Linked DNA regions of Macaca mulatta. The protein of the gene in region 1 interacts with the protein of each later gene in a biochemical or structural test. Links are inferred from orthologs where the notes say so. Each region holds a gene or a part of one and is shown on either strand. Other genes may lie near its edges. The genes, in order: EIF2AK2, DHX9, DNAJC3, PRKRA, EIF2A, CDC42 and TARBP2.

What was found.
Region 2: the proteins of EIF2AK2 (region 1) and DHX9 form a complex in vitro, tested with the Homo sapiens proteins (2 studies listed by BioGRID, with this or other methods). The link is inferred for Macaca mulatta from reciprocal best matches to the Homo sapiens genes EIF2AK2 and DHX9.
Region 3: the proteins of EIF2AK2 (region 1) and DNAJC3 form a complex in vitro, tested with the Homo sapiens proteins (2 studies listed by BioGRID). The link is inferred for Macaca mulatta from reciprocal best matches to the Homo sapiens genes EIF2AK2 and DNAJC3.
Region 4: the proteins of EIF2AK2 (region 1) and PRKRA form a complex in vitro, tested with the Homo sapiens proteins (3 studies listed by BioGRID and IntAct, with this or other methods). The link is inferred for Macaca mulatta from reciprocal best matches to the Homo sapiens genes EIF2AK2 and PRKRA.
Region 5: of the proteins of EIF2AK2 (region 1) and EIF2A, one has a biochemical effect on the other in vitro, tested with the Homo sapiens proteins (4 studies listed by BioGRID, with this or other methods). The link is inferred for Macaca mulatta from reciprocal best matches to the Homo sapiens genes EIF2AK2 and EIF2A.
Region 6: the proteins of EIF2AK2 (region 1) and CDC42 form a complex in vitro, tested with the Homo sapiens proteins (2 studies listed by BioGRID and IntAct). The link is inferred for Macaca mulatta from reciprocal best matches to the Homo sapiens genes EIF2AK2 and CDC42.
Region 7: the proteins of EIF2AK2 (region 1) and TARBP2 form a complex in vitro, tested with the Homo sapiens proteins (2 studies listed by BioGRID, with this or other methods). The link is inferred for Macaca mulatta from reciprocal best matches to the Homo sapiens genes EIF2AK2 and TARBP2.

What each region holds. Positions count from the first base shown.
Region 1 is NC_133418.1:87,794,655-87,798,154, forward strand, and holds part of EIF2AK2 (interferon-induced, double-stranded RNA-activated protein kinase), read left to right. Parts: intron 1-127; 5' UTR 128-140; coding exon 141-259; intron 260-604; coding exon 605-725; intron 726-3,500.
Region 2 is NC_133406.1:40,339,667-40,343,166, reverse strand, and holds part of DHX9 (ATP-dependent RNA helicase A), read right to left. Parts: intron 2,684-3,500; coding exon 2,470-2,683; intron 2,287-2,469; coding exon 2,192-2,286; intron 1,923-2,191; coding exon 1,849-1,922; intron 715-1,848; coding exon 562-714; intron 1-561. UniProt on the Homo sapiens protein: Multifunctional ATP-dependent nucleic acid helicase that unwinds DNA and RNA in a 3' to 5' direction and that plays important roles in many processes, such as DNA replication, transcriptional activation, post-transcriptional RNA regulation, mRNA translation and RNA-mediated gene silencing.
Region 3 is NC_133422.1:90,497,350-90,500,849, forward strand, and holds part of DNAJC3 (dnaJ homolog subfamily C member 3), read left to right. Parts: intron 1-415; coding exon 416-521; intron 522-605; coding exon 606-726; intron 727-3,500. UniProt on the Homo sapiens protein: Involved in the unfolded protein response (UPR) during endoplasmic reticulum (ER) stress.
Region 4 is NC_133417.1:83,391,672-83,395,171, reverse strand, and holds part of PRKRA (interferon-inducible double-stranded RNA-dependent protein kinase activator A), read left to right. Parts: exon of another isoform or gene 1-327; intron 328-1,185; coding exon 1,186-1,264; intron 1,265-2,273; coding exon 2,274-2,391; intron 2,392-3,500. UniProt on the Homo sapiens protein: Activates EIF2AK2/PKR in the absence of double-stranded RNA (dsRNA), leading to phosphorylation of EIF2S1/EFI2-alpha and inhibition of translation and induction of apoptosis.
Region 5 is NC_133407.1:53,591,207-53,594,706, forward strand, and holds part of EIF2A (eukaryotic translation initiation factor 2A), read left to right. Parts: intron 1-1,467; coding exon 1,468-1,541; intron 1,542-1,673; coding exon 1,674-1,818; intron 1,819-1,949; coding exon 1,950-2,066; intron 2,067-3,500. UniProt on the Homo sapiens protein: Functions in the early steps of protein synthesis of a small number of specific mRNAs. Acts by directing the binding of methionyl-tRNAi to 40S ribosomal subunits.
Region 6 is NC_133406.1:218,932,870-218,937,161, reverse strand, and holds the start of CDC42 (cell division control protein 42 homolog), read left to right. Parts: upstream 1-1,492; 5' UTR 1,493-1,530; coding exon 1,531-1,635; intron 1,636-4,292. UniProt on the Homo sapiens protein: Plasma membrane-associated small GTPase which cycles between an active GTP-bound and an inactive GDP-bound state. In active state binds to a variety of effector proteins to regulate cellular responses. Involved in epithelial cell polarization processes.
Region 7 is NC_133416.1:60,654,483-60,658,694, forward strand, and holds the start of TARBP2 (RISC-loading complex subunit TARBP2), read left to right. Parts: upstream 1-1,412; 5' UTR 1,413-3,364; coding exon 3,365-3,417; intron 3,418-3,528; exon of another isoform or gene 3,529-3,664; intron 3,665-3,969; coding exon 3,970-4,139; intron 4,140-4,212. UniProt on the Homo sapiens protein: Required for formation of the RNA induced silencing complex (RISC). Component of the RISC loading complex (RLC), also known as the micro-RNA (miRNA) loading complex (miRLC), which is composed of DICER1, AGO2 and TARBP2.

The DNA.
Region 1 (3,500 bases):
TGTGGGACTGAGATGAGTCCTATAAAGGAGAGTCTCCCCAACCCCTCTGTCTCCTAAACTGCACTGGGAAACTCAGGTTAAATATGTTCTGTTAGCATCACTCATTCAAATGTCTCTTCCATTGTAGGATACTGGAAGAAATGGCTGGTCATCTTGTACCAGGTTTCTACATGGAGGAACTTAATAAATACCGTCAGAAGCAGGGAATATCATTGAGCTATCAAGAACTGCCTAATACAGGACCTCCACATGATAGGAGGTAAGTTGCTATAAACAATGATATGATCTTATAAATGTAAACTGGGGGAATGGCAACTCTGGCACAACTTTGAGGTCAACACTTTTGTTTTGTGAGAGTCCGCTTGGCGTAAAGCGGTAACCACTTTGGAGCCACAGATGATTCCAGAGAGAAGAGAGGGTAGAAACCTTTCCACACTTCAACAAGACATGCTGTTTTACTGCTTGGGGTGACTGCTTCCATTCTATGTTGAATGTACGTTCAAACCCTCAAAGGTAGTCATAGGAGGTAGTGGTAACTAGAGCACTTGTTTTTAGATAGTGCATGAGTTGTATAATATTTTATGAATATTCTTTTTGTAATCAGGTTTACATTTCAAGTTGTAACAGATAGAAGAACATTTCCAGAAGCTGAAGGTAGATCAAAGAAGGAAGCAAAAAATGCTGCAGCCAAATTAGCTGTTGATATACTTAATAAGGAAAGCGAGGTGAGTGATTGCCTTTTTTTCCTAGTAAATGGGAACTTGCAAATGCATTTTCTATTTCTCTCTGTGAGAAAATACTTCCATACAGAGTAAAGCCATTCACACGTTACCTTACATTCAAGAGTTTGGTTCAGTCATTCCCCCCATCTTCATTTCTATGAAACCCTGAGTGAGAGCTGCACACCCAGGACGCCGTGGGCAAAGCTGGAGAATAGTTATTCAGAGTGTCAGCAGCAGTTAAATACTCTAAAATTGAACAAATATGGAAAGATGAGAAGTGTTCAGTGGGAAATGAGCTGACAGGTTCTGGGATGAGTCCCCTCCATCTAATTGAGGAAGTGCAGTAAAAGAGGAAAAAGAGATGAAAGTGATTATAGGGAGAATGATGTACAGCGGTCACTCACTGTCTGCGGGGAATTGGTACCAGGACTCCCTGTGGATGCCAAAATCCACTGATGCTCAAGTCTTTTATATAAAATGGCATAGTATTTGCATATAACCTATTTGCATCTTCCCATATACAGTTATGCGTTGCTTAACAAGGAGAATACATTGTAAGAAATGCATTCTTAGGCAATTTTCTCATTGGGCAAACAACACAGAAGTACTTACACAATCCTAAATGGAGCAACCACTACGCACCTAGGCTATGTAGTATAGCCTATTACTCCTAGACTACACACCTGTACAGCATGTTATTATACTGAAAACTGTAGCCAATCGTAACACAATTTAGTATTCATGTATCTAAACATATCTAAATATAGAAAAAGTACAGTAAAAATACAGTATAAAAGACAAAAGGCTGGGCGCGGTGGCTCACACCTGTCATCCTAGCATTTTGGGAGGCTGAGGCAGGTGGATCACCTGAGGTCAGGAGTTGAAAACCAGCCTGGCCAACATGGTGAAACCCTATCTCTACTAAAAATACAAAAAATTAGCTGGGCGTGGTGGCGGGCACCTGTAATCCCAGCTACTTGGGAGGCTGAGGCAGGAGAATTGCTTGAACCCGGGAAACAGAGGTTGCAGCGAGCCTGAGGTCGTGCCATTGCACTCCAGCCTGGGGACCCTGTCTCAAAAAGAAAAAAAAAAAGACAAAAGTACACCCATATAGGGCACATACCATGCATAAATAGAGCTTGCAGGACTGGAAGTTGCTCTGAGTGAGTCAGTGAGTGGGTGGTGAGTGAATGTGAAGGCCTAGGGCATTATTGTATACCACTGTAGACTTTATAAACACTGTATACATAAGCTACATTCATTTTATTAAAAATTTTTTTCTTCAATAATAAATTAACCTTAGCTTACGGTAACTCTTTTACTTTATAAACTTCTTATTTTTAACATTTTGACTCTTTCCTAATAACACTTAGCTTAAAACACAAACGCAGCCAGGCGCAGTGGCTCATGCCTGTAATCCCAGCACTTTGGGAAGCCGAGGCGGGTAGATCACCTGAGGTCAGGAGTTTGAGACCAGCCTGGCCAACACGGTGAAACCCTGTCTCTACTAAAAATACGAAAATTAGCCAGGTGTAGTGGGGGTCGCCTGTAATCCCAGCTACTTGGGAGGCTGAAGCAGGAGAATTGCTTGAACTCAGGAGGCGGAGGTTGCAGTGAGCCGAGATCATGCCACTGCATTCCAGCCTGGGCAACAGGGCAAGACTCCATCTCAAAAAAACAAAACAAAACAAAAACGAAAACAAAAACACATAGTATGGCTGTACAAAAATATTTTGTTTTGTTACATCTTTATTCTATAAGCTTTTTTCTATTTTTAGAATTTTAAACTTCTTTTTTTTTTTAACTTTTAAACTTTGTTGTTAAAAAATTAAAACATGATTGGGCACAGTGTTTCATGCCTGGGATGTCGAGGAGCCATGATTATGCCACTGTACTCCAGCCTGGGTGACAGAATGAGACCCTGTCTCAAAAAAAAAAAAAAAAAATGCTGGGCATGGTGGTTCATGCCTGTAATCCCAGCACTTTGGTAGTCAAGGTAGGTGGATCACTTGAATTTGGGAGTTTGGGATTAGCCTAGGCAACATGGTGAAACCCTCTCTGTACTAAAAATACAAAACACTAGCCAGGCTTGGTGGCACGTGCCTGTTGTTCCAGCTACTCAGGAAGCCGAGGCAGGAGGATCATGTGCCTGACATGTCATGGCTGCAGTGAGCTGTGATCTTGTGACAACACTCCAGCCTGGGCAACAGAGCAAGACCCTGTCTCAAAAAAAAAGAAAGAAAAAAATTACAACACACACACACACACCAGCCTGCCTACACAGCATCAGGATCATCAGCGTCACTGTCTTCCACCTCCACATTTTGTCCCTCTGGAAAGTGTTCAGGAGCAAAAACATACATGGAGCTATTCTTTCCTATTGTAGCAATTCCTTCTTTTGGATTACCTACCGAAGGACCTGCCTGAGACTGTTTTACAGTTTACTTTTTTTTTTTTTTTAAGTAGAAAGAGTGCCTTCTAAAATAATGATTAAAAAGTATAATAAATATAAACCAGTAACAGTTACTTATTATTATCCAGTATTATGTACTGTACATAATTGTATGTGCCAGACTTTTTTATAAGACTGTAGCACAGTAGATTTGTTTAGAGCAGTGTCACTGCAAACATGTGAGTAATGCATGGTGCTGTAACCCAGGAGTTTGAGATTGGCCTGGGCAATATGGCGAAACCCTGTCTGTACTAAAAATACAAAAAATTAGCCATTATAGTGGCTATGACCTCACTAGATGACAGTAATTTTTTAGCTCCATTATA
Region 2 (3,500 bases), on another chromosome or scaffold:
TTCAGATTAGGGATGCCAAACTGGTAAATACAATGCAAATATTACAAATAAATCAAAATCCACTTCTGGTCCCAAGTATTTCAGTTTTAAAAGAGATATCTGACCTGTATAAATTAACAATAGCAAACACTTATTGGGAGATCATGATGTGCCAGACACTGTTCAAAGTATTTTACATTATTAACTCATTTAATTTCTTATACTAATCCTATGGGTTAGTCATTATTTACCATATTCTTTTTACAACTGAGGAAACAAGAGAGATTAAGTAACTTAGTATTGTATAGAATGAGGAAAACTCAGGCTTAAGGAGTAACCACTTAGTGTTATACAATATATTAGACACAAATAATATTAAAATCTAGGTCTCCATATTTCTAATTCTGGCTTATTCTCTATAAATGATTCATGATGAAGATTCTTAAGAAACATTTACACCTGATTCCAACATGGCTGGCAAAACTTAGATCAGCTTAAATTTGCAGGTTTACATAACTGCATGTCTGTCCCTACAGAGAACAGAACAAAAATCCCTTACTAAAGGTCAAGAATTGGTCTTACCTCTCAAAACGAGCTCGGCTGCACAGGTGAAAGCAGAATCCAGGCCGTACTCGGCCAGCTCGCCCTTTCCGCTGCTCAAGGTTTGTTTTTGATGCCCATACTGTAGCATAGTTGGTCATATTGTTGTGAGCAGTGAAGAGTTTCACTTTCTGCCTACATAGGAAAGACTGGTTAATTCTAAGACTCATGTGTACTATCAATAACTATTACATATCCACTAAGTAGTGAATCCTTTCCACTATGTAGTTAAAGTCATGCCTACTTGTGATGTCTATACATCAATGGCACAAGTAAAAATTATCAATTTGACTGCACACTCCTAGTTGTCAACCTACTGAAACGCAATGTAACATCTACCTGCCACTTACCAGCTGAACTGCCTTGGCCAAACTTTCTATGCCATTACCTACCTTATAAGAGTTTTTTTGTTTTTGTTTTTTGTAAACGTTAAGTAAATTAACAAATGCAAAGCATTTAAATGGAATATGGCACATACACAAAATAAAATAATTATTTAAGTCATCTCTATTCCAAAGTTTAGTGTAACTTTTAGGATATCTATATGTAGTGATGACTGTGTGGTCCTTCTGAACCCCCAGGCAACCTCAGATTCCTTCAATGTTACATACAGAGACAGCTGCCACTAAACTACTGGGACTGGCACAGAATGCTATTTAACATTTCCTAAAACGGATGTTGGCAGCAAATTGTTTTCATTGTCAGGACACACTAAGGAATTATACAGAGAAGTCATGGGGCACAAGTTGGCCAGATATAACCAAGTTTCAACGTTTTTGTCCTTTCAATTGATCAATTACCATGTAATTCCTGTATCTACACAGAATGCCTCCTGGCATATTTTCCAGGTTCATCTCATACCAAAATGAAGACCTTTAATCCATAAAGGAGGGTCCTTCAAGGTAGGATATTTGTCATGTGCTAAACACTGGTTATCTTTATTGATCAAATAGCATGCTATAGTATGTCAGAGATCAATGGAAATACCCAATGGGAAATTAGCGAAACACCAGCAGCCAAGAGCAATGAGAAGTAATCATCAGTTACAGTTTCAAGCTTTGTCACTTTCTACCATAACTGATTTGCAGTAATCAACACAAGTAACTACTCTTAATTATCAATTACCTATAATGCTATATAGATGCACTATAATTTTGGAGATATGAGAACACAGGAGTTTAAAAATAAGGTGTTTTTGATTCTGTTAACTGGTAAGAAGTTTCCAGTTGGTAATACTGGAACAGGCAAATAGGTTTCCCAGTAACTTACTTGCAGGAGTCAATGACATAAACAACATCGTTTATGGTAATGCTTGTTTCAGCAATATTTGTGGACAAAATAACCTGTGAAGAAAGAAAAATTACATTCTTATTACATACTTGAAAGGACTGATTTCCTTATGTAACAAATGACAAGAAAATTACAGAAGTCCTAAAAAGATCACCCAATAACTGATTAATGAACCATCTACTAAGCTCAGAAAGAGAAGACTCCTTTTTTCTTCCTCAATTTAGATGGGTTACAAGTTTTTGGTTAGCTCTTTGAAGGCCTGTAACATTTGTTTAGTCTCTACCTCACTTCCAGTCCCATCACTGTAATGTTTAATATTTACCTTGGTTACTCCAACTGGTACTGGATCAAACACTTTGCGCTGTTCCTCTCGAGGAATCTGAGAATGCAGAGGTAGAATCTGATACCGATGGCTTCCTATATAACAATACAGAACAATCAGGGACTAAAAACAGGAGCTGGTTTCAAACAGCTCTCCATTATACATACTTTTATTCAAAGGTAGAGACAACACAAAATTTTGTTTTCACATACTGGCTAAGGCACTAGCAAAACCACTCATTTTCACTCTCAAATACGTGAGAATTCAAAGATTCATACCAAAATGTGGATTCATTTCCAAATGCTTCTGCATAGTATAAATCAAATTCCAGCCAGGCAAAAAAACCAACACAGCTCCAGGAACATTAAGGGTTTCAATGTACTTAAGTAGAGCTTCGATGAGTTCAAAAGGAGTTTCCTTTTCGTTCAATTGAGACATGCTCAACCTTGTTTCTGGACCATATTCATCACCACAGATCAAGTTGCAATTTGCCTGTAAAAAATGGGGAGACATATTTTGGACTGTCTCAGTTACTACAGCTTATGAGATAAGTCTTCTAGATTTCTTCCACTGACTCTAATGACTTATAATGTCATTATTTATTCTAGTTGACTAGTCACACACTATAGAATACAGAAATTTAATTTCCAAAAACACAGAGCTTACATCAATATACCGAACTTTTCTACTAACTAGTACTTCTCACAGGATAGGACTAAAACTGAAGCACAAACTTTTAAATTTGACTCAAACCTCTCATGGAGCCTTCTACCGAGTATATTTCTTTTTTACTATTACTGAAATAATGTGGTATTCTCCAAAAAGTTTACATTAGAATCAATGATAAAACAAGTTGAGAAAGTTGTTACAATTGTTTTTTTCCTGCTAAATTTTCTAATCTGCTGTTCATTTACATCTTCAGATCTTTTGATTAAAAAGATATAATCTTAGGTTTTCTAGCAAATTCTGTATTGCTGGCTGGCTCAGTCTATATTTCCAGATAATTCATTTTTATACTATCATTTGTCCAACTCTCAAACACTACAAAGTAAGTCTTTCCTGTTTCTCCTAGGAAATCCCTCATCGCTCCCTGATTTAATACTCCATCCACCTGATACTGTCATCTCCAGTCTCCTGTAGCTAAAGCTATAGCTGCTGTCTCTGAAACTTTATTGTATATACAGATCACTTGGGGATCTTGTTAAACTGTAGATTCTGATTCAGTAGATCTAGGGTGGGGCACAGGATTCTGCCTTTCTACCAGTTTCCCAGGTGCTGCAGCCTACTGAAAACACTTTGAGTAGCAAAA
Region 3 (3,500 bases), on another chromosome or scaffold:
ACTTAATGGGTTCCGTTATTTTCATGGAAGTGTTTACTGACCAAGAAATAAAACTTGATCTCTGTATTGTTCAATGTGCTCAGTATAAGTCAGACTTCAACAGGGTATTTTACTCAGGTTCGGAATTCTGAGCTTGTTTCTGTAAGGAAATTCTTCTGGTTTGATTGGTACTTACAGGTATGCTTTGTTCTGTCCATCTGCATCTCCTATGGTCAGATGTTTTTATTTCTTAACTCTTAATTATGGAGTGTACCTTCTATGGGACTCTAGATTAATAAGGGAAAAGCCAAATCTGAAGCCGTGGCCTCATCCAGTTGGATTGATTAAGCAACACATGGTGAAGAGGGGAGGAGCCTTTCTACAGCTCTGGAAATCGAATGTCATTGTTTCTTATCATGATTTGCTCATTTCTTAGATACACAGATGCTACCAGCAAATATGAATCTGTCATGAAAACAGAGCCAAGCATTGCTGAGTATACAATTCGTTCAAAGGAGCGGATTTGCCATTGCCTTTCTAAGGTAACAGTTGACTTGTTCCCAGAAATGTGAAAACTCATCATGTGGAATACCAACCATAAATCCCTTTCTCACATTTCCTTTTAGGACGAGAAGCCTGTTGAAGCTATTAGGGTTTGTTCTGAAGTTTTACAGATGGAACCCGACAATGTGAATGCCCTGAAAGACCGAGCAGAGGCCTATTTGATAGAGGAAATGTATGATGAAGGTAAATCTTTAAGGAATTTGATTTGCAGTACCGAAGTGTTGATTAGGAAATTATCACATTTTAAGCTTCCTTTTCCTTAAAACAAGTTTACCGGAGTACCTGGAAATGGTGACGATTTAGAAAAATGGCAGAGAGCTTGAAAATTACTCTTCCATAGTGGAACCTGAAAGGTATACCATGGGAGGAAAGAGTTCTGCCATTGAAACCAGTTCAGTACAATAGAAAAATAAGTATTTTAGCTTTTTTTTGTAGAAAGTTAGGAAAAAAATAAAATAGAAAATTTAAATGTAGTTCTCATGTCATCCAGAGGTAATCACTGTTCATTTTGCATTTATCTTTTCCAGCTTATGTCTATGCACATACATTACTCTATATTTTATGCACATATACATATTCTCTCTCTCTATATATATATACACACACACACACTCGGTGTGTATGAAACATATATACAGAAAGCATACATATATGTCATATATCCCTAATATAAAATGATCCTCTGTGACCCCAAACTGTGTAGTAAAATAGGACAGTTGCTGCCCTGTTTTGTTCAAGCCGAATGAAGTAACAAGATTCCTGCTAGATGTTGTGAGGACCTTGGTTAAAAGCAGTGTCCTGTTTTTGGAAGAAAACTGTGGCGTATATAGTAATATATAGTTTTTGAAAAATAGAATCCATATATATATATGGAGATATATATATATATAGTTTTATACTTTTTTTCATGTGACACTAAGTTATGAACATTTAAATGAAACAGTTTTTAAAAAAATAGCGTTATAAGCCCTTATTGCAAATATTTTGTTTCAAATTCAGATAAAGCATTTTAAATCAAAAACTAATTTTCTCTTATAGTTAAATGAAGGGTTTGAATGGTAAAATTTGGTTTGTGATACTCTTTTTAAGGCAAAACTGGTCAATCTATTTTTCCCTGCTTTCCTCAATTAGAAAAGAATCTTGCTCCTAAGCAAGTTCCCGGTTTCCAGGGAATGATAACAACCTGGTCACTACTATTCCTGTGACATCTTGTGGGGGATTCAGACCTTGAGGTCTCTGAATGAGGCTTGAAATGAATGCAGTCAAAATGATGTTTTAATATTCATAAGCATGCTTCAATAAGGCAGGTAGTCCACATAGAAAATCCCTTTAGCACACTCGTTCTCTTTCCTTTTGAGCCACCGTGTCTACTCGCTGAGATGGTTTTACTCTAGGATTTTGCATTCCAGTTAGTTTTTGGAACTCTTTATCAAAGATACTTTTGTCATCTGTATGTAAACCCTTAGCTCTTACTGCGAAATTAGAGAAGCTACAGAAGAATATAAACAGCTTAGCTGTTAAAAAAAAAAAAAAAAAGAAGGCTAAATCTTGTAGAATGCTAAATATAATTTGAAAGATGCTTTTGAAACTTGAATGTTAAACTGACTTGCTTTTTGGGGAAACCTGATGGCTTAATTCTGGAAGAAAAAGATGCTTAGTGCTAATTTGATATAATTGATCTGGTTTCTTTTTTTTTTTTTTTGGAAATGGAGTCTTGGTCTTTTACCCAGGCTGGAGTGCAATGGTGCAATCTTGGCTCACTGCAACCTCCGCCTCCTAATTGCAACCAGTTCTTCTGCCTTAGCCTCCCGAGTAGCTGGGATTACAGGTGTGCACCACCACGCCTGGCTAATTTTTGTACTTCCAGTAGTGATGGGGTTTCACCATATTGGCCAGGCTGTTCCCGAACTCCTGACCTCAAGTGATCTGCCTGCCTTGGCCTCCCAAAGTGCTCGGATCACTTGGCCCTGCCCAGTTGATCTGTCTTTGAAGCCTGTTGTTTCCTTGAAAAAATTCTTTTGTATAGGAATTTATTAAAGAGAGAGAGAGAATGGTTGCCAGCTCTCTAAATTTGCAAAAGAAAGAAAGGAAAAGAGCCTGTATAATTGAAACTGACAAGTATTACCTGACTCGTTTGGATTGGAATCAGGGGTTTAGTAAATGATGTAAATAAATAATAATCTTACTTAACTAAGCTAAATAACAGTATGTCTTCAGTTTACTTGAGTTAGAAATATGCTTTCCATATTCTTCTTCCTGGTTTTACCTTTTTTAAATAAGCAATTAAAAATGATGGCAGGTACATAATAAAGAATGAATAGGTTTAGGTTAGTGAATAATGGAACATGGACGTTTATTAATTTGGGGCTTAGAATTATCAGGAAACATATCGGGATATCACTCAATAGAAAGGAAGTAAAGTAAGACTGTTATTTGAGGATGCCTCTGAGATCTTGAAAAATCAAGGGAAATTCTTTATCTCTGCATGTCTCCGTTTTAATAGCTTTTGAGAGGAAGAAACTGACATTGAAGCAATACGAAAATATTGACAAATTCCTTTGAATATAGGGGTAACACAGGTGTCCTTAGGAAATGATCAGTTATATTTTGCTAGAACTTTAGCTGTGTGAGGGCAGAGACCTGTGGCTGTTATATTAACTGATGCATTCCTGGTGCTTATGCTGGCACTCATGTTTGCTGAATGAATGAAGGTAATTTATTTATTATACAATGAAGTCATAGTGGAGAGTAGGGAATTTAGAATTAGTCCTGCCTTTGAGTCTGGCTTTGTGCAGTTATTCTATTTTTTTTTTTTTTTTTTTTTTTTGAGATGGAGTCTCGCTCTGTAGCCCAGGTTGGAGTGCAGTACCGTGATCTCGGCTCACTGCAACTTCCGCCTTCCGGGTCCCAGTTCAAGCAATTCTCCTGCCTCAGCCTTCCGAGTAGCTGGGATTACA
Region 4 (3,500 bases), on another chromosome or scaffold:
TGTACAGCCTGAAGGTGAACCCAACCAGTAAGTACACTTGTAGAAATGAGGGGTATAGAGTGTCCTTTCTGCACCTGGGCACTTCACTTTGTCAGCAAAAAAAGCTAACAAACTTTACTATATTTGTGCTTCTTGACAGATAAAATGGGAATTACTAAGCTGTAATCAGGCCTAAAGTGGCCTGACTTAATACAGAGACTTTCTCACTTCTCCATCACAATTATTTGGGTAGCTTCGGCATGCAGCATTGTAAGTGAATACTCATATCTCATCAGCCTATGTAAAGCTTGAAGTTCTCGCAGTTGGAGAAAAAGAAAAAAAAAAAACCTTGAGGAAGTGGCAATAACTAAACCTCACTTGTCATGGAAAAATGACTCCAGTTGCCTAGGTGGTAGTAACCTTGAAATGCCGCTTATTCAGTTTTAAGCACTGACCTGCCAAGTAACTAGTAATTCCCAACTCCCTAGAAGAGGTTCTCTTTTTCCCTAATCATAATCCCCACATGCTAAAACCAAATTCATCTAAGCCATCTATTTTATGCAGGATACATGTAAATCTTAGAGGATTATCCCAGCACTGAGCAGATGACAGATCAAACAGATCTCTCTTCATAGTTCTCTGGATGAAAAAAACAATGTTTATAAATAATCTGTATTGTTCACATTGCCAGGTTCAATTTTCTGGATCATTGTTACTCTTCTATTTTTTGCATAGTTGTAACAGAGTATTCTTTAAATATTTTTTTATGACATGCCTATTACGTACAAAACGCCACAAAGCTTATGTAGGTAAGTGATACATAGGCCCTACCTCAAGGAGCTTATAGTCTGAATAGGGGAGAGGTATGGTGAAGGATGGACAAATTATATGTATTTGTAAGAGTATATAATTTATGGTAAAACAATTTCCTCAAGAAAGGATTAAACCGTGTGTTATAATGTTTCAAAGAAGGGAGAGATTATAAACCACTGGGGTAAAAGGATAGGCTTCTTGGAGAAAGTGTCATTTGAGATATATCTTGGATGACAGATCAGATTCCCATAGAAGAGGCCTGAGAAAAGGGCATTCCATGTAGAAGGAATGACAAGAGCAAAGACATAGAGAGTTAATTAGAAAATGCTTGTCATTTATTTCATAATTTGGGGGAAATTATTTTGTTTTATAACACTTTTAAAAAATATTTAGCTTTGCAGTTCCTGATCCCTTAATGCCTGACCCTTCCAAGCAACCAAAGAACCAGCTTAATCCTATTGGTTCATTACAGGTAAGTTGTACAGTTCTTTGCCTACTGATGAAATATATAATAAGTTTGTAATATCAGAGGGGCTAACACAAGGAATTAATATTTTAAAGACAAGATAGTGATATATTTTGTTTTCCAACTTACGATCATTAGATTTATAGAGCTAACTTGAAATTATTCCATATACAGTATTTGCCTTTGGCTTATACAATTCTCATTTAAGATCAATAGGCCCTCAGTGCACATGGGTAGAGTGTTTTATACTTTAAGAATAGTTCTTGCTACTCTTGTGACAAATCTCTTTCTACTTCTGTTGAGACAGAAGACTTTATAAAGAGCCTAAATCAAATCAGTGAACCTAACTCAAGAAAAGGAGTCTGCTTATTTGCTTATTCTACCGAAAAAAGAAAAATTTATATCTACACACACTCACATATGCACACATATTCAGCTTTGAATTTCTATATGCAGAATATCCTTGCAGACTATTCATGTGCTCTGTTAGGCCATTCCCCTCCCCATTATTCAGCCAGTCCTTTGGTCTCTTTTTCCAGCACTATGAGCTTTTCTATAGTTTTCTTCACCTTCTGTCCCCCACCTCATCCAAGTCTGTTGTTTGCTGTCCCTACTCATGTGTTCTTGGCCAGCTGTGGGTTTGGAAGTCTATAGCTAGGAGGGGAGGGACTTTAGGAACTGATGGCAGTGAAACCTGTAGATGGTCTCCTCTGGTGTTCCCAAAGAGGGCGGTAGTAGCCTGTTTTTCTAGTTGAAGTCTCATACCAGCTCACTATGGTTTAATTCAAGAACACCATTCATAGCAGAAAACTGATTCAGTTTTGGTATTGGGATATAAAGATACAAAATGCAGGAATGTCTCTGAGAAATAGAGGGTCTTCCCTCTTTTATCCGTTGCAGAAAATCACTATTCTTTTCAAACATATACATAGAAATGGGATCAAAATTAAGAAAATACTTATGTGATTGAGCCATTGCATAAAATTACTATTAAAGCCTCATCTTGATTTTATAGGAATTGGCTATTCATCATGGCTGGAGACTTCCTGAATATACCCTTTCCCAGGAGGGAGGACCTGCTCATAAGAGAGAATATACCACAATTTGCAGGCTAGAGTCATTTATGGAAACTGGTACTTATTTCTTACAATTAAAGGCATTTGAAATATTTTCAGATGATGAATGACTATAGAAATTTCTGTCATAATGTTTTCCAGTATTTCTATGCAGAAAAGTTGATACACTCCTCTTTTATAGTCTCTGACTTTCTGAGGCTGAACTTAAGTATAAATATTTGGCTTAAGATACTTAGTCTTAATTTGATATTTTTAAAAATCAGAGATTATTAATAGAAACTATTGGCTTGTACTTTAAACAGTCTTCATTGATAAATTAGTGACTTTAAAAAAACTCATTTTGGAGACAAAGCTATAGCAAATCTCTTGGATTTTATTTAAGAGCTATTCTATCTAGAAAATAGGACTAGAGGAAGATTACCCTTGAAAACGATATGATTAATAAGAGACTAGATGGCAAATAATTGCAGTGAGATAAAAATGAAAATTATCTTTCTTAATTGTAGCAACTCCTATGTTATAAAGGATATAAACTGTAAGAAACACTGTCACTTTAGAAAGTACTAGTGAGAATTCCTGTTAACTTCTCTGGCATGTTTTTGTCATTTTTTAAAGTGGCTTAAAATGGGATTTTACCTTAACTAGATAATAGTTTCAAGTAATAAGAAACTGTGTGCCTTTGGGAGGTAGTGTGGGCTCTTACAGAAAGCACCAGGTCAAAAGCAAGAACCTCAACTTCCATTTTTGATGCAGTCCTTGATTTGCAAAGTTAAGCAAATTAATCTCTCTGGACCTCAGTTTTTTAATCTATAAAACAAAAACATGGAGATAGATATTTGTGGTATCTTTCAACTCCAGCATCCCCTGTGCCTTTCTTATTCCTGTTTAAAGGAATTCCATATAATTGTCAGTTTAGAGAAGATCACAAGCAGGAAATAGACATTGAGAGAGAGGAGTTATAATTCAGATGTATTTTAATAAATATGAATAATTGGTCAGAATTAAATGTGGTTCAGTAATGCTAGACATAGGAAAATACAATTATTATAGAAAAACAGAAAGCATAACTATTAAAAACTTAAAACAAATGCCTTCAAAAGTGTAAGAATTAGTAACTATACAGGCCAGGCACAGTGGCTCACCTATAATCCCAGCCCTTTGGGAGG
Region 5 (3,500 bases), on another chromosome or scaffold:
TAACAATCATAGTTTTTTTAAAATTAAAGTTTTATGCTTATAGTTTTATTTAAATTAAAGACTACAAGGTTTTTATTTAATTTCTTCTATCTTATTTGTATTGCCTTTTGTTACCACCAAGAATCTTGTTTCTCTGGAATACCAGGGATGATAATTTGAGAATATCACATTCACATAAGCGTTCATTTGGTTTGTTCCACATTATCCACAGGGTATTCTTAGAATCTCAATACCGGCCGGGCGCGGTGGCTCAAGCCTGTAATCCCAGCACTTTGGGAGGCCGAGACGGGCGGATCACAAGGTCAGGAGATCGAAACCATCCTGGCTAACACGGCGAAACCCCGTCTCTACTAAAAACACAAAAAATTAGCCGGGCGAGGTGGCGGCGCCTGTGGTCCCAGCTACTCGGGAGGCTGAGGCAGGAGAATGGCGGGAACCCGGGAGGCGGAGCTTGCAGTGAGCTGAGATCTGGCCACTGCACTCCAGCCTGGGCGACAGAGCGAGACTCCGTCTCCAAAAAAAAAAAAAAAAAAAAAAAGAATCTTAATACCAAAAAGTGACACTATTGCTGAAAATAATTTTTTAAAAAGGGTTTGCAGTTATTTTTGTCTTTAGAGCATCCCATTACTGATTGTACAGTTTTGAGTATATTATAGTTAGAATAGGAATTGGTAACTTTGTTCACACATACCAAAGATGGCATGTAGGCTGATTTTGAGCAATATCCAATCAGTATAATTATGCCTTTCATTTTCCTGTGTTTGAGGCGCACTGTCACCTCGCTGTTTCAGGGTTAACTTGCTTTCTTGTCTGATTTGCCTCTTTGTGAGCATGCCAAATGAAGAGGGATCACCACTTTGACAGTTTGGTGCGCTGCGCTTGAAAAGCCATTGATCTCTGAAATCAAACAAAGAAAGTATAGTAGCTCTTGATCTAATTAACTAGGGTAGCAGTTTTATTAATAGCAGCATGGTTTGGACTGCTTTTAATATCAGCCATTGTTACTATGGTTGTGATCATGGTTATCATGCATCTGTTTATCACATTAAGTTATAGAATTTCCATATCCACATTCTGCAGTAGCAGGCCAAGGTTGATCTTTTCCTTCTAATAGGCTCTAAGACCACTTTATTTCAGCGATTGAAGAGAGGATAACTGACATTTATCAAATACCTACCATGTGCCTGGCACTGTTCTCTTAAAACCAATTACTGAGAGTTGGGTGGTATAATCGCATTACTTGCCTGAGCTCACACTGCAAGTAAATGACTGAGTAGAAATTGAAGCCTACATTTGTCTTGCTCCTACCCCATGCTTTTTCCACTGTGTTACTGTGTGTCACCAGCAGGAGACTACAGTGAGTACTATTAGTGTGTAGTTATAGTAATCCTTTATAATGTATTCAGAGTTTAACATGTTCCTTTTAGCCTCTCTCATCAATCTGATTTAATTTACTCTTTTTTTTAGACACAATTGCAAATAAATTGCATTTGCAAAAAATTAATGATTTTGTATTATCACCTGGACCCCAACCATACAAGGTAATTGCTGTTTTTGTTTAAGTGGAATATTATGTGTTTAAACCTTTTCCTAGTTTTTTGTGACTGTAAAAACATGTCCATCTCAGTTTTTATTCTCAAAAAATTAAGTAATGATTTATGTGTGTATCTTAGGTGGCTGTCTATGTTCCAGGAAGTAAAGGTGCACCTTCATTTGTTAGATTATATCAGTACCCCAACTTTGCTGGACCTCATGCAGCTTTAGCTAATAAAAGTTTCTTTAAGGCAGATAAAGTTACAATGCTGTGGAATAAAAAAGGTATGCTAAGTATATTTTATCCCTCTTGTTTACCAGTTGTTAATTTAGGCTATATTCCTGTGCATATAACAGAAGAATCAATGCCCATGTAATTTGTGTTTTAAATCTAATTAAAGTTTTTACTGTTATAGCTACTGCTGTGTTGGTAATAGCTAGCACAGATGTTGACAAGACAGGAGCTTCCTACTATGGAGAGCAAACTCTGCACTATATTGCAACAAATGGCGAAAGTGCTGTAGTGCAATTACGTGAGTATTCCAGCAGTCTTCCTTTGATTAGAAACAATGGTAGTAAAAAATACTATGCCATAAAGATGATATAATCTAAATTCTTGATCAAAAGATAGAATTCAAATACCTTAATAACCTTTAAGATAAAATTCTTCTTTTTTTTTTTTTTTTTTTTTTTTTGAGACGGAGTCTTGCTGTGTCTCCCAGGCTGGAGTGCAGTGGCGTGATCTCGGCTCACTGCAAGCTCCGCCTCCCGGATTCACGCCATTCTCCCGCCTCAGCCTCCCAAGTAGCTGAGACTACAGGCGCCCGCCACCACGCCCGGCTAGTTTTTTGTATTTTTAGTAGAGACGGGGTTTCACCATGTTAGCCAGGATAGTCTCGATCTCCTGACCTCGTGATCCACCCGCCTCGGCCTCCCAAAGTGCTGGGATTACAGGCTTGAGCCACCGCGCCCGGCCAAGATAAAATTCTTCTTAATTAAGAAACTTAAAATCATCCTCAAACATACCTTATTTTGGCAGAATACAATTAGTTATTTGAGTTATGCCAGCGTTTTAGAAGTAAACTTCCTGAGTGAGGTAATTCCGTTGTAGTAGCTCTTTTGGAGCTTACTTAGCTAATTATGACAGCAAATTGCTTAATACTATCTTTAGAATTGTTAGTAATATCCAAGAGGCCAGGCATGGTGGCTCATGCCTATAATTCCAACACATTTTGGGAGGCTGAGATGGGAAGATCATTTGAGCCCAGGAGTTCAAGACCAGCCTGATCAACATAGTGAGACCCCGCCTCTACAAAAAATAGAAAAACTTAGCCAGGCATGGTGGCATATGGCTGTAGTCCCAGCTCCTCAGGAGACTGAGGCAGGAGGATCACTTGAGCCCAGAAGTTCAAGGCTGCAGTGAGCTATGATCATGTCACTGTACTTAAGCCTGGGTGAAAGCCCGTCTCAAAATAATAATATCCAAGAATGTTACCACTTCATCTGTTGTTTTAATGAACTAAAACTTTAAAATAATAGTTTTAAAATACTGACAGCTTCCTAATTTTCTCGTTTTGAATTGAACTTATGTAAGTAGGGTAATCTACCTTTTAAAAAACTGTATTTCCATTGAAGTCAAAGAAAAAACAAGGATGGCTCCCCTTTTCACTTTATTTTAATAACATTCTGAAATACCTAGTCACTCTAACTAATCAGCAGAAGTAGAATATATACAGTTTTGAAAGAAAACAAAATCATCTCTGCTCATGTAGTCGAAGTCACACTATAACCAACAGCTACTTTAAAAAAATAAAAGATTCCATATATAGCAAAAAAAAATAACAAATATATAGGGCCAATGGGAAGAAAACTTTAAAACTCTTCAGAGAGACAAACTATGGCCTTTACTAAGAAGAATTATTTTTATAAAGATGTCATTTCTCTGCTATCAATCTAAAACTAAATTT
Region 6 (4,292 bases), on another chromosome or scaffold:
AAGACCAGCCTGGGTAACAGTGAGACCCCATCTCTTAAAAAAACCCAAACCAAAACCAATACAAAACAAAAACCCAGCCAGGCATGGTGGCATGTGTCTGTGGTTCCAGCTACTTGGGAGGCCAAGGTGGGAGGATTGCTTGAGTCTGGGAGGTGGAGGTTGCAGTGAGCTGAGGTTGTGCCACTGCACTCCAGCTTAGGGTATGGGAGTAAAACCCTGTTTAAAAAAAGAAAAATATACTGCAGATAATTTTGATGAGGAACGGGAGAGTGTGTATTTCCTGTAGGTTACTCACACTAGTGTAATTTCGTGTTCTTGATTTTTGCATCCTTTCAACAACTCGCAGTGTGCCAGTCTAGAAGTGCTCAGTGCTAGAAGTATAGTGGTGCTTGAGGTACTATAGGTTCATTTACAGGGATGTTAATAGGCGTTTATAAATTGTTATGATTAATTGTTGTGAATGGTGCTATAGGAGCATGGTGGCATCTGACCAAGAGTTAGGTGGTTCTGTATTTTTATGTTTAATTAAACCCTTTTAGGATTATAATTTAAATTAATTTACATATAAATAAATCTTAAAATTTAGGTATATATTGGGTGGTATTTCTTTTTATTCTTTCAGAAAACTGTTAAAGTATTTCATTGAATCTAAGATTCCAATTTCATAGAAGTCAAAATGTGGGGGAAAAATGGCTGATAATGATTGTAAGAGACTCAATAAAGATACATTCTGACTTTAGAGATGTTTAAATGAAAAAAAGTTTCTCAAATTAATGACTCTTTGGTACTTGTAATTGATAACTTCTTAAAATTGAGGAGAACTCGAATAAGAGAAGCTGTAGTATCTGTTTATAAGTCAGTATGCTTTAGAGCAGTCTGACTTTTCATTATAAAAATGTAGGTTTTGGACTAGGCATTCTGGTGCTAAAACAGCTGCTGAGGCCAGCGATCACCCTGTTCTTTGTTCAGTTCCTCACGTTACTCATATAATTCGTGTGAGGCTCTACTGCTTGTTGGTCAGAGCCTGAGTAAGGCTGAGTAAGGCTGGATAATGAACCATTCTTTAAAGCGGTGGCCTTTGTATTGCAGTCTAGTTCACATACATGCATACATACAGGTGTGTGTGCACGTGTAACCGAAGAAAAGCTTTCACAAAATAATATTTAGTACAGTATGTGGAATTTTCTCTGATACAGTCTCTTCTTTTTCATTATAAAAATAAATTTGCTGTTTATCACACCAGTTGGGACCTTCTGAAATAACACTTAAGAAGTTGAAACAGCCAGGGATCAGAAACTTAGAAATGAACCTTATTTGTTATTGTAACTTATAGCAAGTCATTGTTTCTCTTATTGGGTTCTTTTAGCCATAATAATTGTGCTAGTTCTTTTCTTGCTCTGAGTGCCTTAACCTGTTGCTAAGTGAGGAAAAAAAAATACATATATAAGCATAAACAAACATGTCTTTAATCTTTTTGCAGGTCAACATCAGATTTGAAATATTTAAAGTGGATACAAAACTATTTCAGCAATGCAGACAATTAAGTGTGTTGTTGTGGGCGATGGTGCTGTTGGTAAAACATGTCTCCTGATATCCTACACAACAAACAAATTTCCATCGGAATATGTACCAACTGTAAGTATAAAGGCTTCTTTCTGTTAGTAAAATGTAAAATTTGATACCCTTTTGAAAATTCTTTCTCTGTGTGTACTGAATTTTTTTCTGTTTTCTGCCTTTGTTTCCTGTTTTTAAAGATCTTGACTTCTCATGGGTAAATTATATACACTTTAAAATTAAACAGCTGAAAAATCAGTGGAAAGTCAGAAGGGGTGACACAAGGGTTTACAAGAAGTGCTGGGAGGCAAAACTCCAGTAGACAAGATTCTAACGAGTGGTGATCTCAATTTGGTGAAGTATGCCCTACATCTTGGAATGAGGTGACTTTTTTTTTTGGATATTTTGGCCAGTTATTGAACAGTACTTGGAGGTCTCCTGGGATACCATTTGGGGTCCTGTAACTTGAGAGAAAGTTGTATGTGTCTCCACTTTTCTTGTGGAACTATTCTCTTAGCAGTAATGGAGCTCCAAACTGGTTGTTAGGGGCAGAGAAGAGAAGACCTGTTATGTTATGAGAATACCAACAGAAACCTTTGGGGGTCACCCCCCACAACCTTTTTTTTTTTTTTTTTGGAGACGGAGTCTCTATCGCCCCTTCTATCTGGAGTGCAGTAGTGCGATCTCGGCTTGCTGCACCCTCCGCTTCCTGGGTTCAGGCAATTCTCCTGCCTCAGCCTTCTGAGTAGCTGGGATTACAGGTGCCCGCCACCACGCCCAGCTAATTTTTGTATTTTTAGTAGAAACAGGGTTTCACCATGTTGGCCAGGCTGGTCTCGAACTCCTGACCTCAAATGATCCACCCGCCTCGACCTCCCAGAGTGCTGGGATTACAGGCGTGAACCACCATGCCCGACCCCACAGCTGTTTTTTAAATCAGCTCTTTGGAATGGGAGAAGGAAGGTGGGAATAACAAAGATATTGAAGTGAGAGAGAGAGAGACAAGAGTTAGAGTAACACTCATTTGTGAAAGGTAGTGAGACGCTGTCTCAAAAATAAGTAAAGTTGTTTATTTTGAAGGGGGGAGAATTTGAAGGTATTATTAAACACTAAAATCACATTGATATTTTGAATTGGCCCATTTGGAGACAAGATAAATGGAAGATGTTGTGAGGTTCAGTGGACTTACAGGGGACGTTTAGAGGTATATGAATCTTGTTTCAGAGTGAGGACAGCTATCAGAGTTTTTCTGTTTTAGTTTCCATTGAAGTTGTTTAACTTGTAAACATAATTTCTGAGTCTTTTATGACTTTGATCTTCTGGTGTTGTATTTTAAGTGGGCTTGTGGGTTTTTTATATGTATGTTTGTGTGTACATCTCTGGAAAAGTGATAGGGTGGAAGGAAGAGTAGTAGAATAAAATTTTAAATGAGCCGATTTAGGTAAATGAATGGACCATGAGGCACAAATAATGTTCTCATGGTACCTGTTGAAGTTAGTATGGAAATGGATTTGGTGTAAAATGCATTTTAGTTCCCATCTATAAATTGGAGCTTGCCGTTTCTAGAGTAATAGAAATTCAGAGTTGAATGGGACAATACATACTGTCTTATCCATCGCTTATGGATGAGAGTACTCAGGCCCAATTTAGGGATGAGACTTAGAAGTCTGACTTTAATTACTTAGTGTAATTACACTAGGGAAAGTAGACTTTGGAATGGAAGCCAGCTTTTCTGATTCTTAGTCTGGTTTTGGATATGAACAATCCAGTAAAGGAGGGTTGTTTTTGAGTCTCTTAAGTGCGATTTAAGAAAGTTATGTGTTTGGTTTGAGAGCTTAATCACATTCATTCGATTTCTTTGTTCTTGTTTTTAAGAACGAACTTTCCTTTGTCATCTCCCTCAGGCCCTTGCTTCTCTTCTTCTTTACATTTAAATAAGCTCTTGAGCAGTCTGTTAAAACATAAATCAGAAAATCAGAGTAGGTACCCAAAGGTTAAGTAGGGCTGGTCTTAAAATGTGGCATTCTTCTCCTAGTTGGAAAGCTTTGCTTTTCTTTTTATATATATCATTTAATTTTTAAATTTTTATTGTAAATTGACAGATTATAGTTGTATATGAAAGCATTGCTTTTCTATTGTAAATTAATTCTAAAGACTCCAGAATTTGTGTTGGGTCTTTTCCCATTTAGCATTGTTAAACCTCCCATTTTCACACATAACTTAGTACAACCAATATTAGTATATGCTGTACTGAATTTGATAAGGGTTTTATGGTCTATTTACATATTAAGCATCTTGTTACAGAAGATGTCTCACATCATGCAGTTTGTGCCCAATAACATGAATTTTACTCACAAAATTCCCAGCTGGCCAGTCGCAGTGGCTCACACCTGTAATGCCAGGACTTTGGGAGGCTGAGGCAGGCAGATCATGAGGTCAGGAATTTGAGACCAGCCTGGCCAACATAGTGAAACCCCGTCTCTAAAATTTTCTCTAAAAATACAAAAATTAACTGGGTGTGGTGGCATGCACCTGTAGTCCCAGCTACTCAGGAGGCTGAGGTGGAGAATCGCTTGATCCCGGGAGGCAGGTTGCAGTGAGCTGAGACCATGCCATTGCACTCCAGCCTGGGAGACTCTGTCTCAAAAAAAAAAAAAAAAAAAAAAAAATCCCAGCAAATAATCTGTCAGCCTTTTCTTGGACACTTTGAGTACTTTGAGGGAACCGTTATTTCTCTC
Region 7 (4,212 bases), on another chromosome or scaffold:
TCAGCTATAAGAAAGCCTAGGAAATCCTGAGCCACATCTAACTTCTTGCCTCCTCTGTCTGTAACTGGGATGGGTATTTAGCTGGTGGTCTACATGTTGAGAGCTGGGGTTTTCCCAACATTACCCCAGTTGACAATGGGAGTGAGTGGATGAATGGTATGCTTGAGGGGACACACATGTTTTTTTCACCCGTGTGAGATAGGAGGGAGTGGGGCCCTAAAGCTCAGAGAAACTTCAGTGTCTGGACAGGAAGGCTCAGGGGGCACTTGAGTCCTTTCCTTCCTAAATCCTTTCTGTTAGCCTTGGCTTGGTATGACCCTCTGGCTGAAACTCAGAGCTCCTAGAGCAATGGAGTCCACCTTGAGAACTGCAAGGGAAATGTGTTTAGAGGGATGCACTGACTGTGGCTTGAGACGACTCTGGGTGGGGTAAGGAGACCTCATGTGCACTCCCTCCTGATTGGAGGCCACTCACCTATGCTCCTCTGAAAAAGGCAGCAGATGAGCATCTACAAGGTAGGACTCCTCCCTTAATTCTAAGGGACACCTCACTGTTTCCTCCCACTGTCTACAGAGCCTTGACTCTTCCCTCCTCTCAGTCAAGGCCTTGGTTACCAGCAAGTCTCAACTCTTGCTTATTTTTAAGCCAATGAGTTTGAGGAGTGTTTGTGGGAAAGGGAGGAGGTTTTTGGAGGGTTTGACTGGGGGAGACGGGTTAGGGGAGCCAGAGGAGATGGAGAGAAAGAGGAGGGAGAAACCCACACGTGAATGGGGGAGGGGAGGATGCAACAGCTGGATGGAGGTGAATGCCACAGCTGGAGGGGATTAGGAGGATCACAGCTGGAAGGGGAGGGGACCAACGCCTGGGCATCTAGGAACAGGTGCTCTCTGACTAATCTTCAGGTCCAGCCTGCTAAGTGTGTGTGTGTGTGTGTGTGTGTGTGTCTGTGTGTGTGTGGAGGGAGATGTGGGTACATCAGTCCTTGCCCTTCCTTTCCTTCCCTGGAGGGGGCCAAAACTCTCCCTCCTCCTTCCCTCTCTCCCTTCCTGAGGATGAGTGGGAGGAGATGTTCTCTTGCCCTCTGTCCTTTAAGTCTGTCCCCCAATCACCCTCCACCCCACCCCAATACGGTCCTTTCCAGCTCTGGAGGCCCTTCGTCTCCAAGCTGGGCCGCGGCATCTCTCCGCTCCATTCCCTTCCTTCCCAGCCCCACACGCGTCGGGTCCAGGTCCCCAGTTCCTCCATCCCCACAGCTTCAGCATCCCCACACCACCACCCGCACCAGGCCACATCTGCATCCCGACCCTCCCTCCACGCCCGGATCCCAGGACCCGGACCCATCCCTGCCCCCCACCCCCCCACAACTCGGCCAGGCTCTCACCTCGGGGGCTCCGCGGCCGCAGCACAAAAGGCGGCGCTGCTGCAGCTCCGCTCCGGATGCTGCTCCCGCCTCCTCCTCCTTCTCCTCCTCCTTCCCTCCTCCCCCCGCTGCCCTCCACCGGACCCGGGGCGCTGTCACAGGCGATGCTCGTGCGGTGTCCGGATGCACGGGTGTCAGCTTCAGCTTGCTGCCCCCACCCCCCGACCCCTAGCCCCGTCCCTGCTCGGCTTGAACTCCCGCTCCTTCCAGGGCCCCCGCCCCTGGCCCCCCGGGACGGACACGCCCTGAGCGGGGGATGCTGCGATGGAGCCGCCGGCCTCTTAAAGGAGCCCGCTGCTGCCATCCGGCGCGCTCCACTCTCGTCCCTGGCCCGCCTGGGCCCCGCGCTTCCCTGCTGGCGGTGTCCTATGGAGGTCCCACCTCAGGCCTTAGGCTGATTCCACAGGAACCCCCTATGACTCGTCTTATAGACTCCTTTCTACATCGGAGAGAGCAGCCCCTCAGTTGGGATCCCTAGCGCTCTGGCATTGCTCCCCCTATCATACTGATCTTGCCAGCTCTCCTTCCCTTGATTGTCACCGCTCACTCTAATTTCACCCACTTGGAATTCACTCGACTCTAGGCCCCATCCTCCTCCAGTGTTCCTGGATGACCCCTCATTATCATTTAAAGATTCCTCTGGACCTCCAGCCCCGCCTCAGAGTAAGACATCTCTTTCTTGACCCCTTCTCAGAACACTCATTAGAACCTTTATTTATTTATTTATTTTTAAAAAATGTGATATCTCCCTTTCTCCAAGGTCACAAGATTTCCCTTAGCCCAGTGGTTGTGCGACTTTGGGGGAGGAGGCAATGGGGCTCTAGGACTAAAAAATTTGCGTCTGCTCAACACCCAGATCAGTTGATTAGTCTTAGGCGGCCAAAATTCACTCTTGCTTTCTTCAGCTGAGAGACCCAAGACTCATGGCAGAGGGAACGAGACCACCAGGTGCCTAGTCCTTCTAATCCTGTCGCCCCACACCACAGCCTGATTATCAGGCCCCAGAGATTTCCTTGCCAGTTAGAGAGGTTCACTAGAGCCGTTCTAAAAAGGTTTTACAAAAGAAGCAAAACCTGAAGGAGGTGAAGGACAACCTAGGAAGAGGAAGCAAGTTCTGTGTCACGGAGGCCCAAGGGCCAGGGGCTTAGGCTGTGGGTTGAGGGGACTGTCTGAGACTGACTTGGATCTGCACCAGCTCCAGAGCCCTGCGTAGACAGACATCGGTCCCCTCCGGCGTCTAGGTAAAGCCCACCCTCTCAGACCTCAAAGAGCCCGGATCCGACAGCAACCTCTCCGGACCAATCACAACCTTCCTTCACCAAGGAGGCGGGGTCAGGGGGCTGACTTTTCCTTGTCCCCGCCCCTTTGGTCGAAGTAACCAATTCCAATGTGCCTAGAGGAAGTAAACGCAATGGGAGTAACCAATGACAACATGAAGCTTCTCGTGCGTGCTTGACCCTGCCCCTCCAGCTGCGGCAAAGATGGCGCGCGGGCTCCTGGGTTCTGTAGTTTTCTCGGGATCCAAAAGGCTCCGTGCCCAAGTGAGTCCTTACCGCCCCGCTACCCAGCGGCTTCCCCTCCGCTAGTACGCATGTCCACAGCCTCACGGCCCGGGAGAGAGGGGGCGCGGAAGGAAGGAGGCGGGACGGTATTACAAACAAAAAAATACAGCCTTCTCGAGAAGCGACTGCGGAGAGCCCGCTCCTCCCAGAAGGCGGTGCAGCCGGCCCGGGCGAGCCACGCGGAGGGTTGTGGGGCGGATAGCTCCCCTCCAGATGGAGGCTCATGAAGTAGGGTGGGCGGGGGACTCCATATCCCAGCGTGCCCCTCGGCGGGCCCTACCGGCCGCGACTCCGGGCTTGGCCCCGGCCCTAGCTCGTCGGCGGTGTATTGGGGCGCGTGGAGGCTGCAGTCACGGTGGCGCCCGCGGGGACGGAGGAGGGAATGAGTGAAGAGGAGCAAGGCTCCGGCATTACCACGGGCTGCGGGCTGCCTAGGTGAGCCGCCTCGTACCGATTCCTTCTGGGCAAAAAGCGTGGGGCCGTGCGGAGGGAGTAGCGGCGCGGCCCCAGCATGCACCTGGCCTGAGGGTTGTTCCCGGCAAGCACTGGGGCAGTGGGCAGTGGTTCCCGGCGTGCACCGGGGCAGTGGCTGCTGCCTTCAGCTCTAAATAGTTTGGGGTTGGCCCGGTTCCCAGACTGCACTGGAACACTGGGCTTTATGCCCCCACATTCAGTGCATTTGGTGGGTACTGGGTTCCTGGCTTGCACTGTGTCAGGGGGTATGCACTTTCAACCTGCATGGGGCACAGGATCGTGCCCACCTTAACTGAGGCAGGAGCAGTGCATTCTTCCCCCCTTGCTTTGAGGTAGTGGGCCCTACTCTTCCAGCCTGCACCTACACTTGGAACCCAGCCAATGGATGCTAGACTGCCTGGGGTTCCTTGGACCCTATGTCCCCCATAATGTGCCTAGGTCTGGTATGGAAGTGCTTGGCCAGGTGGGTGCAGAGAGGGGAGGTGTGATATGGGTCTGTGCCCCTTCCCCCAGTATAGAGCAAATGCTGGCCGCCAACCCAGGCAAGACCCCGATCAGCCTTCTGCAGGAGTATGGGACCAGAATAGGGAAGACGCCTGTGTACGACCTTCTCAAAGCCGAGGGCCAAGCCCACCAGCCTAATTTCACCTTCCGGGTCACCGTTGGCGACACCAGCTGCACTGGTGAGGAAGGCTTGGGCAGCCTGGCTGGGGTGTGCATTTGCAGGTCCCCATGACTTTGTTTCTTGGAGTCTCT